Linked DNA regions of Macaca fascicularis. The main gene of each other region encodes a partner of the protein of the gene in region 2 in a complex. Links are inferred from orthologs where the notes say so. Each region holds a gene or a part of one and is shown on either strand. Other genes may lie near its edges. The genes, in order: ITGA2B and FLNA.

Region 1 (4,262 bases), on a different chromosome or scaffold from region 2:
TGATCCGCCCGCCTTGGCCCCCCAAAGTGCTGGGATTACAGGCGTGAGCCATCGCGCCGGGCCCAGATCCCCTCTTGAGAGCTGGTTTTAATGAGGGAAGGTAGAAGGTACCTCTGAAGTGGGGCTGGAGTGTGTGTGCTGATAGAGATGAGGACCCTAGCAGATCTAGGTTTAAATCACAATTCTGCCATTTGTGAAATAGGAATACCAATTTCACAACCAATGACTTTTTCACAACCAATCAAAACGGTCAGGAGTAAATGTAATAAATACGAGTAATGGTTAGCATGGTCCCAGCCAAATACATAACAAATGCTCTTGAAACAATGCTATAATTTTAAAAAATAATTTTGTTGTTTTGAGACCGGGTCTCATTCTGTTGCCCAGCTGGAGTGCAGTAGCACGATCACAGCTCACTGTAGCCTTGATCTTCAGGGCTCAAGAAATCCTCTCCCCTCAGCCACCCGAGTAGCTGGAACTGTGGGTGTGCAACACCATGCCTAGCTAATTAAAAAACTTTTTTTTTTTTTTTTTGAGACGGAGTCTCGCTCTGTTGCCCAGGCTGGAATGCAGTGGCCGGATCTCAGCTCACTGCAAGCTCCGCCTCCCAGGTTAAAGTCATTCTCCTGCCTCAGCCTCCCTAGTAGCTGGGACTACAGGCGCCTGCCACCTCACCCGGCTAGTTTTTTGTATTTTTTAGTAGAGACGGGGTTTCACCGTGTTAGCCAGGATGGTCTCGATCTCCTGACCTCGTGATCCACCCGTCTCGGCCTCCCAAAGTGCTGGGATTACAGGCTTGAGCCACCGCGCCCGGCCAAAAAACATTTTTTTATAGGCCAGTCATGGTGGCTCACACCTGTAATCCCAGCACTTTGGGAGGCTAAGGGATTACAGGCGTGAGCCTCTGTGTCTGGTCTATAATTTTTTTTAACCGCAGAATGTTTAAGTAGTGCCAATGGGATCACTACTTATAGGAGGGGAGATAAGCAGGAGTGGGCACAGGAAGGAGTTGAGCTGATTCAGGCCCAATGACAGCATTCGCCAACACCCACAAGCTCTGGAGCTAGAATGACCTTTCAAAATTGTCAGAGTTGGCCGGGCGCGGTGGCTCACACCTGTAATCCCAGCACTTTGGGAGGCTGAGGCGGGCGAATCACCTGAGGTCAGGAGTTCGAGACCAGCCTGGCTAACATAGTGAAACCCCGTCTCTACTAAAAATACAAAAATTAGCCAGGCATGGTGGCATGCACCTGTAATCCCAGCTACTCGGGAGGCTGAGACAGGAAAATCGTTTGAACCCAGGAGGCGGAGGTTGCAGTGAGCTGGGATCATGCCATTGCACTCCAGCCTGGGCAACAAGAGCAAAATTCTGTCTCAAAAGAAAACAAGAAAAAAAAGGCCCGGCGTGGTGGCTCATGCCTGTAATCCCAGCACTTTGGGAGGCCAAGGCAGGCGGATCACCTGAGGTTGGGAGTTCGAGACTACCCTGACAGAAACCCCATCTCTACTAAAAATACAAAATTAACCGGGTGTGGTGGCACATGCCTGTAATCCCAGCTACTCGGGAGGCTGAGGCAAGAGAATCGCTTGAACCTGGAAGGTGGAGGTTGTGGTGAGCCGGAGATTGCACTATCGTACTCCAGCCTGGGCAACAAGAGCCAAACCCCGTCTCAAAAAAAAAAAAAAAAAAAAAAGAAAAGAAAAAAAAAGAATTGTTAGAGTTGATGAAAGAGGGAAAGAGGGCTGGACCCTTATCAAATGCCTCCCCACCCCCCGCCTCCACTCTCCCCACTCGCCCACTTCTCATTGTTCAGTCACTGGATGTGGGCCACCTTGGGAGGGGACTTTGAGTGAACTGGCTGTCTTCAGCAGGGACTTCCCACTTAGGGAAATCCCCTAAGTGGCTGACACTTGAAGGCTATCTGCCATTGCCACCCATTGCCACCCCCTGAAGCTGGTGGGCACTGTGTCTCTCACGGTAAGTAGCTCAGGGTACACACTATGAAGAGGAGCCAAGACTCTAATCTTGGGCACTCTTGATTCTGAAGCCTGATCAATACTAACCATTAATGACCTATTGCTTCTTTTCAAAAATTTATAATGTTGGTGGAGATGAGGGAAATGGAATAGAAATGCAAGATTGGGGAGGGTAGACAACTTTAGTTCTGCAAATCAATTTTAGGACATGTGCTCCTCTCCACATTTCTTTCTTTCTTTCTTTTTTTTGAGACAGAGTTTCGCCTAGGCTGGAGTGCAATGGCGTGATCTCAGCTCACCACAACCTCTGCCTCTCAGGTTCAAATGATTCTCCTGCCTCAGCCTCCCGAGCAACTGGGATTACAGGAATGCGCCACCATGCCCAGCTAATTTTTTTTTTTTTCTTTTTTTAGTAGAGACGAGGTCTCTCCATGTTGGTCAGGCTGGTCTTGAACTCTCGACCTCAGGTGATCCACCCGCCTTGGCCTCCCAAAATGCTGGGATTACAGGCGTGAGTCACCATGCCCAGCCTCCTCTCCACATTTCAAGGTGTTGAGGGTGGTGTGGTTCATACAACTGACCCTTGGGGAAAAAATAAAGCATCAACTCTTGTCTTCCCTTGGTTCTTGCTATAGTTTCAGTGCCCATCACCCACACCTGTGCCCTGCCCTTACACCTTCACCTGAGCCAGTCCCCCAGACCTCAGCATTCTTGACAAGAAATCAACCTGAATAGGCCCCACAAGTCACCTTGCTCAACTGCCATAACAAATGGGAAACTTGAAGCCCCCAGAAGCAGTGATGGGGAGGGGTCCTGCTCTTTCCCAATACCCAAACTTCCCTCATAGCTCACCTCCCATGGCTGTCCTTGTGGAAGTCCAGTGAAAACCCAAAGTGGCTGCCATTGGGGCCTGCATAGAAGGTGAGATGCACTGGGTCCAGGTTCAAGGCCCAGGCTGGAGGGGCAGCACAAGGTCCCAAGAGCAGCAGCACCCACTCCAGAAGCCAGAGGGCTTGCAGTGGACACAAAGCTCTGGCCATCTTCCTTCTTCCACAACCTCCCAGGCAGGAATGGACCAGCTCCTCCTTCTTCCCTTCAGATTCCTCCACAGGAAGTCTTTTCTTATCAAACTGCAACCCCAAGTAACTTGCTGAGCAATGGGCAGAGCAAAGGGCTATAGCCCCTGGACTCATGGTGGCTAGAATTGTCAGGAAGTGGGTGAGGCCATGCTCATGGCTGGATGCTCATAGCTGAAAGCCATGAGTCCTCCCTTTTCCTGAGAATAGTTTATTACCAAGTCCTATTGGTTCTGCCTATCAACGATGTCTCTTGAATCTTTACCCCATCTCTAATACCACCATGCTAGTCCAAGCCACCATCACTTTCTGCTTGGGATACCGTGATTGTGAACTGCTCCATACCTGTCTACTCTAGCCTACAGTTCTAATCTCCTCCCTTCCCCCATCTGGTTGTACAGCTGTGGTGCTTTGTGACTTAGCCAGAGGTTGGGGAAGGAGAAGGAAGCTGCTGCCCTCTGATAAAACCTGAGGCTGCTGTGTCTTTTTGGATATGGCATTTACCCGCTTCCTCCTAGGACCTTGGGCGGCCTCAACCAGCCATACTGGCGCAGCAGCTTCCTCACTTGTCTGTCTTGAGCCAAGTTTTAGTGTGGCCACAGCAGTGCAGTCAGTGCTGGGGACAGGGTGGTGAACGGACCTTGGTCTAGGTGGCAAGGATATTGGGGATAAAGTGGAGTTATTCCAGGGAATTTTGACTCACAGGTTCTGAGATTATGCATTAGCTGTTCAGTTGAAGGTAGGCCCTCAATCCTTTTTGGGTGACGGAGCTCTTGTCTAACCATTAAGACTTGATTCTGGTTGGGGTCTTTGCCTAGGGGAGCCTTCCCTGACTCCTCAGGCTGGCCGCATGGGCTAACACACATAGGCACAGTATTGAGCACACTGTTTACTCATGGTCTGTTCACAGGATTATGTAAATGAGTCCCTTGGGAGCAAGGCTCCTTGCTACAGCCCTAGAGACTACCCAAGAGTCCAACATGTAGTACGTGTATTGCCGAACGACTGGACGGAAACACACACTAAGGATGGAAGATGCAAATATAGGGTGACAAAGTGAAGGGATGAGTTTTGAGCAGAAAGGCTGTCATTTTCTCTGGGTAAGCGGAAGAGGAGGAGTGCCAAGTCTTACTGGCACTCGTGCCTTCCCAAAAAAGCAGGTTCTCAGGAAGGAGATTCAAGAGGTTTGCTAGGGGTAACCATAGCCAC
Region 2 (3,802 bases):
TGTCGACCAGGGCACCCAGGGCCCGGCCGCTCTGCCAGTCTCGGCTGAAGTTGGTGATGGGCAGCTGTGGCAGCTTGTTCTGGATCCAGCCCAGGAGCCTCTGCTTGGGGGTCTGCTTCTTGGCCTCCTCATCCTCCTCCTCATCCCACATGGGCATGGAGATGGAGTAGTGCAGGATCAGGGTCCAGATGAGGCCCAGGATCAGCTTCAGGTTCCCGTCCACGATGGCCTTGCTGTCTGTGAGTACAAGAGTGGCTACACTGGGCACACAGCTGTGCGGGAGGGGCCGCTCCCAGGCTTTGGGGTCATGGTCTGGTAGCACGGGATGGGGGGGCCAAGGAGGAGGGAGACACCCCGTCTTGACCAGTGGTAGGATGTGGATGAGGCCCTCTCTGCCCAGCATCCCAGGGGGCGTTCAGAAGTAAAGGAGACTTTGGGGTAAGGGGAGATACCCACAGACATGCGATGATAGCAGGGTATGATTACTGCCAGAAGCCCTGGGCCCAGAGGAAGGGCAGAGGGCAGACCCAGCCCACAGATGGTCAGCTCTGGAGAACAGCTGGACAGTGTCCACAGCTGCCAGAGCAGGGGTCTGCCACCCGCCTCAGGGGCCTATGGGGAACCAGGAGGAGGAGATTGGCTCCAGCTGGCCCAGAATCCAGGGCCCATGGCCTGGAGTGGGGCTGGGGCTGAGGAAGAGGAAGACGGGTGGCCCTGGGTGGTTGGGAAATACAACTGTTGTTCCAGGGTGGGTGGGGTGAGGCAGGGGAAGTGGGGGAGTTGGGCAAACACCCTTTGGGTAAAGGAGTGTGACCCCCACCACCACCTCCACTTCCTCTACCACCTCGAAGACCCAAGCTTGGAGCTGGGAGGCCACAGGCCCGGCCAGGGGAGAGGCCCAGAGCCCAAAGGAACCAGCAGTTGGGCCACATGGCCCTGACTCACTGGGGCCCATCGGGAGATGCCGGGCTGGCAGCAGGAGACACTGTGGGAACCCCCTTGCCACCCACTGCCTGATCCACTTGCCACCTAACGGGCCTGGGCCTCGGCAGGCTCGCCACAGGGGAAGTGGTTAGGGCGGGTCCCCGACACCCCCCATTGCCATGGCAACCCTGCTGGGCTCTGGGCCCCACCCAAAGCTACTTCTGGGTCTCAGGCTCAAGGCAGGATGGTTTGGGCTTTCTAAGAGCTCATCTTTAGAAGCTCTGTCAGCCTCTCCCATAATCAGACAAAATACTTCTCTGGTGAGTCAACTAGGGGGTGGGTCTATGAGGAGGGGCTGGGCCGTCCACGGCAGCTGCTTCCCAGCCCAGCAGGCAGCACCTGGAGGGCCAGGTGGGCCGCTCAAAGTAGAGTGGCCTCCCCAGTTCCCAGATTGGTCCTGGCCCCACGAGGCTGCCTTTCACTTTCCCTAAATGACAGCGGGGAGAGGGGCTCAGAGAGGACTGAGGGTGCAAGGCCAGGGAACAAGGCCAGCCAGGGCTTCCCATCAGGCCCCCACCCCAATCCAGCCTGAGACCCCTTAACGACCCCCACACCGGGAGCAACCAGGCCCACCAGGTCCATGTTAGGCCAACCTACTCCGTCCCCATCCCCCTCCCAAAAGAGAGTGTGAAGGACCAGGGCCCAGGGCTGGGAGACTGCCTGGCTGGATGGCCCCGCCCCATCCCACCCCCTTTCCCCAGCCCCCGGGCCAGCCAGCCCCTCCCTCCCCTAATCACTGCTGCTTTCCAACATTTTTTTGCCTTATATGGCAAAGCTCTGGGAACTAGGCCTGCTCCAGCCAGCTCACAAGGAGGAGGGGAGCTGGGAGGAGGGAGGAGACCCCCGCCAAAGAACTGGGGTGTGGCCCGCCTCCCCACATCCGGTCGCCCCCCCCCACACACACCATCCAGGACTCTGAAATGACTCAGCTTGGCTAGACTGAGGCTGGGACTTGGGGGGGTGGGCCTGCCCCTCGCCTCAACTGGCATTCCAAAGAAAGAACTTCAATTCTTGGGATCTGCCCTCTGAGTGGCTGGGGGAACCCAAGTCTTGGTCCCTCACTTTCTTGGGTTCAGCAAGGGCCATTCCAGAGCTGCAGGGATAACTGGAAGGCCTCTCAGTTCTGAAGAAGAGAAGAATCATCATCCCTCTCCTCTCCCTGTTCAACGTCACCCCCAAGTCACCCGTTCTGGTGCCTGCCCTTCCAAGCAGCCCCTATCTTGAGAAAGAACTGGGATGCTGCAGCAGGCCTGGTCAATGCCAGCCTCACCAGTCCAGTGACACAGACACTGGGCTGGCACAGTGCACGCCGGAGCATCTACCAACCAACTCCTGCGTGCTATACGCAGAAAAGCAAGGCCAACATGGAAGCAAGAATTTGTCCCAAGATGAACAGAAAAGTTGGCGTCCAAGTAGTCTACAAGCCAGGTCCCTCAGTCAACCACGCCCAACTCCGGGTACAGTTTTGCTAACTACGCTTCTTTCTGGCCCCCAGGTTCCCTGTGTGTGTGGGGGAGGTAGATCTAAACTGGTGGTTGGAGCCATCTCCGATGGGCGACGCATCCTCCAGGGACAGAAAGAGCCCAGAGTCCTAGACAATGGGACGCACGAGCTCCAACCCACACTTTAGAAACAAGGGGAGTTTGAAGCCAGAGGGCCCTCTCTAAACAGCTGTGGGGGGAGAGCCTGGGCCTCCTCCTCCTCGAGGATGGGGCGCAGGGCCAGAGCCTGCCCAGTGCCCGACCCCCCAGGCCCACTCCCACCGCGAGCACATCTGCGGGGGCGCGGCCTGCTGAGGATGGTGAGTTCAGCCTGGGCGCCGGCCAGCCGGGGCGCGGCGGGCGGGGGCGCGTAGCGGTTCGCACGCTCGGCCGGCCAGCCCGCCAGCCCGCCAGCCCGCGCGCCTTTGTTCTCCAGGCCCGCGTGGAGCAGACCAGCCGGGGGCCTCGGGAGCTGCGCCGCAGCCCGGAAGGAGGTGGTTTGGAGGGGTCCGCCCGGGGAGATGGAAGGACGCACGGAATTCCCGCCCCCGCCCGCCCGGCGCTTCGGGGCGTCCCTCACCGATGGACACCAGTTTGATGCTCTCGCGGTCCAGGAACTCGAGCGCCACCGACACATTCTCAAGCTGCATTTGGCGGAAAGTGGGCCGCTGGTTGTGCTTGCGGTGCATCTTCTTCTGGCTGAGCACCTCCAGCAGCGCGATGAGCCGCAGCCCGTCGCTCAGGTCCGTCTGCAGGTTGGCGATGCGCTTGCTCACGCACTTCAGGTGCTCGTTGCACCAGCGCGTGAAAGTGTTCTGCTGGATCTTCTTCCACGGTGCGTCCTCCGCGAGGTCCTTCTCGGTGGCCGGCATCTCCGCGTCCCGCGTGTCAGCGCCACCACCCGGAGCCGCGCCTGCTGCGCTCTGGCCCGCCCGAGAGTGGGAGCTACTCATTTTGAGGCGCGAGAAGCCGGGGGGGCGGTGCTGCAGCCTCGGCGAGGGGACGGCCCTTTAATTAAAGTCGCAGGCACCTCGGCGCGCGGGAGGCGAGGAAGGAAGCAGAGGTTGCGCTGCGGAGAGAGCGAGCCCTTTAAATGCGGGCGGAGGGCGGGGCCAGGGGGCGGGCCTCCTGCGGGGAGGGGCCGTGGGGTGGGGCTTCGGGGGCGCGACTGCCCCACCCCGCCCCGCCCGTTGGAATGCCCCCACTAGGCCCCGGGCTTTGGCTGATCAGACGTGAAACCCGGGCTCCGGGGTGGGTCGCTGGGCCCTGGAGTGGGCAAGGATGCTCCCAGCCCCGCGGCCTCGCGTTGGCGCTGCAGGAAACGCGCCCCAGAGCGA

The links.
Region 1: the proteins of FLNA (region 2) and ITGA2B are in contact, whole or in part, in an NMR structure (PDB 7SFT), measured with the Homo sapiens proteins. The link is inferred for Macaca fascicularis from reciprocal best matches to the Homo sapiens genes FLNA and ITGA2B. Residues at the interface, in NP_001104026.1 of Homo sapiens: Thr2263, Gly2267, Ala2268, Gly2269, Gly2270, Leu2271, Ile2273, Ala2274, Val2275, Glu2276, Gly2277, Ser2279, Ile2283, Phe2285, Asp2287, Arg2288, Lys2289, Gly2291, Cys2293, Val2295; in NP_000410.2 of Homo sapiens: Trp1019, Lys1020, Val1021, Gly1022, Phe1023, Phe1024, Lys1025, Arg1026, Asn1027, Arg1028, Pro1029, Pro1030.

Annotation. Positions count from the first base shown.
Region 1 is NC_088390.1:65,448,975-65,453,236, forward strand, and holds the start of ITGA2B (integrin alpha-IIb), read right to left. Parts: upstream 3,050-4,262; 5' UTR 3,018-3,049; coding exon 2,830-3,017; intron 1-2,829. UniProt on the Homo sapiens protein: Integrin alpha-IIb/beta-3 is a receptor for fibronectin, fibrinogen, plasminogen, prothrombin, thrombospondin and vitronectin. It recognizes the sequence R-G-D in a wide array of ligands.
Region 2 is NC_088395.1:160,361,902-160,365,703, reverse strand, and holds part of FLNA (filamin-A), read right to left. Parts: intron 3,535-3,802; 5' UTR 3,419-3,534; coding exon 3,046-3,418; intron 238-3,045; coding exon 1-237. UniProt on the Homo sapiens protein: Promotes orthogonal branching of actin filaments and links actin filaments to membrane glycoproteins. Anchors various transmembrane proteins to the actin cytoskeleton and serves as a scaffold for a wide range of cytoplasmic signaling proteins.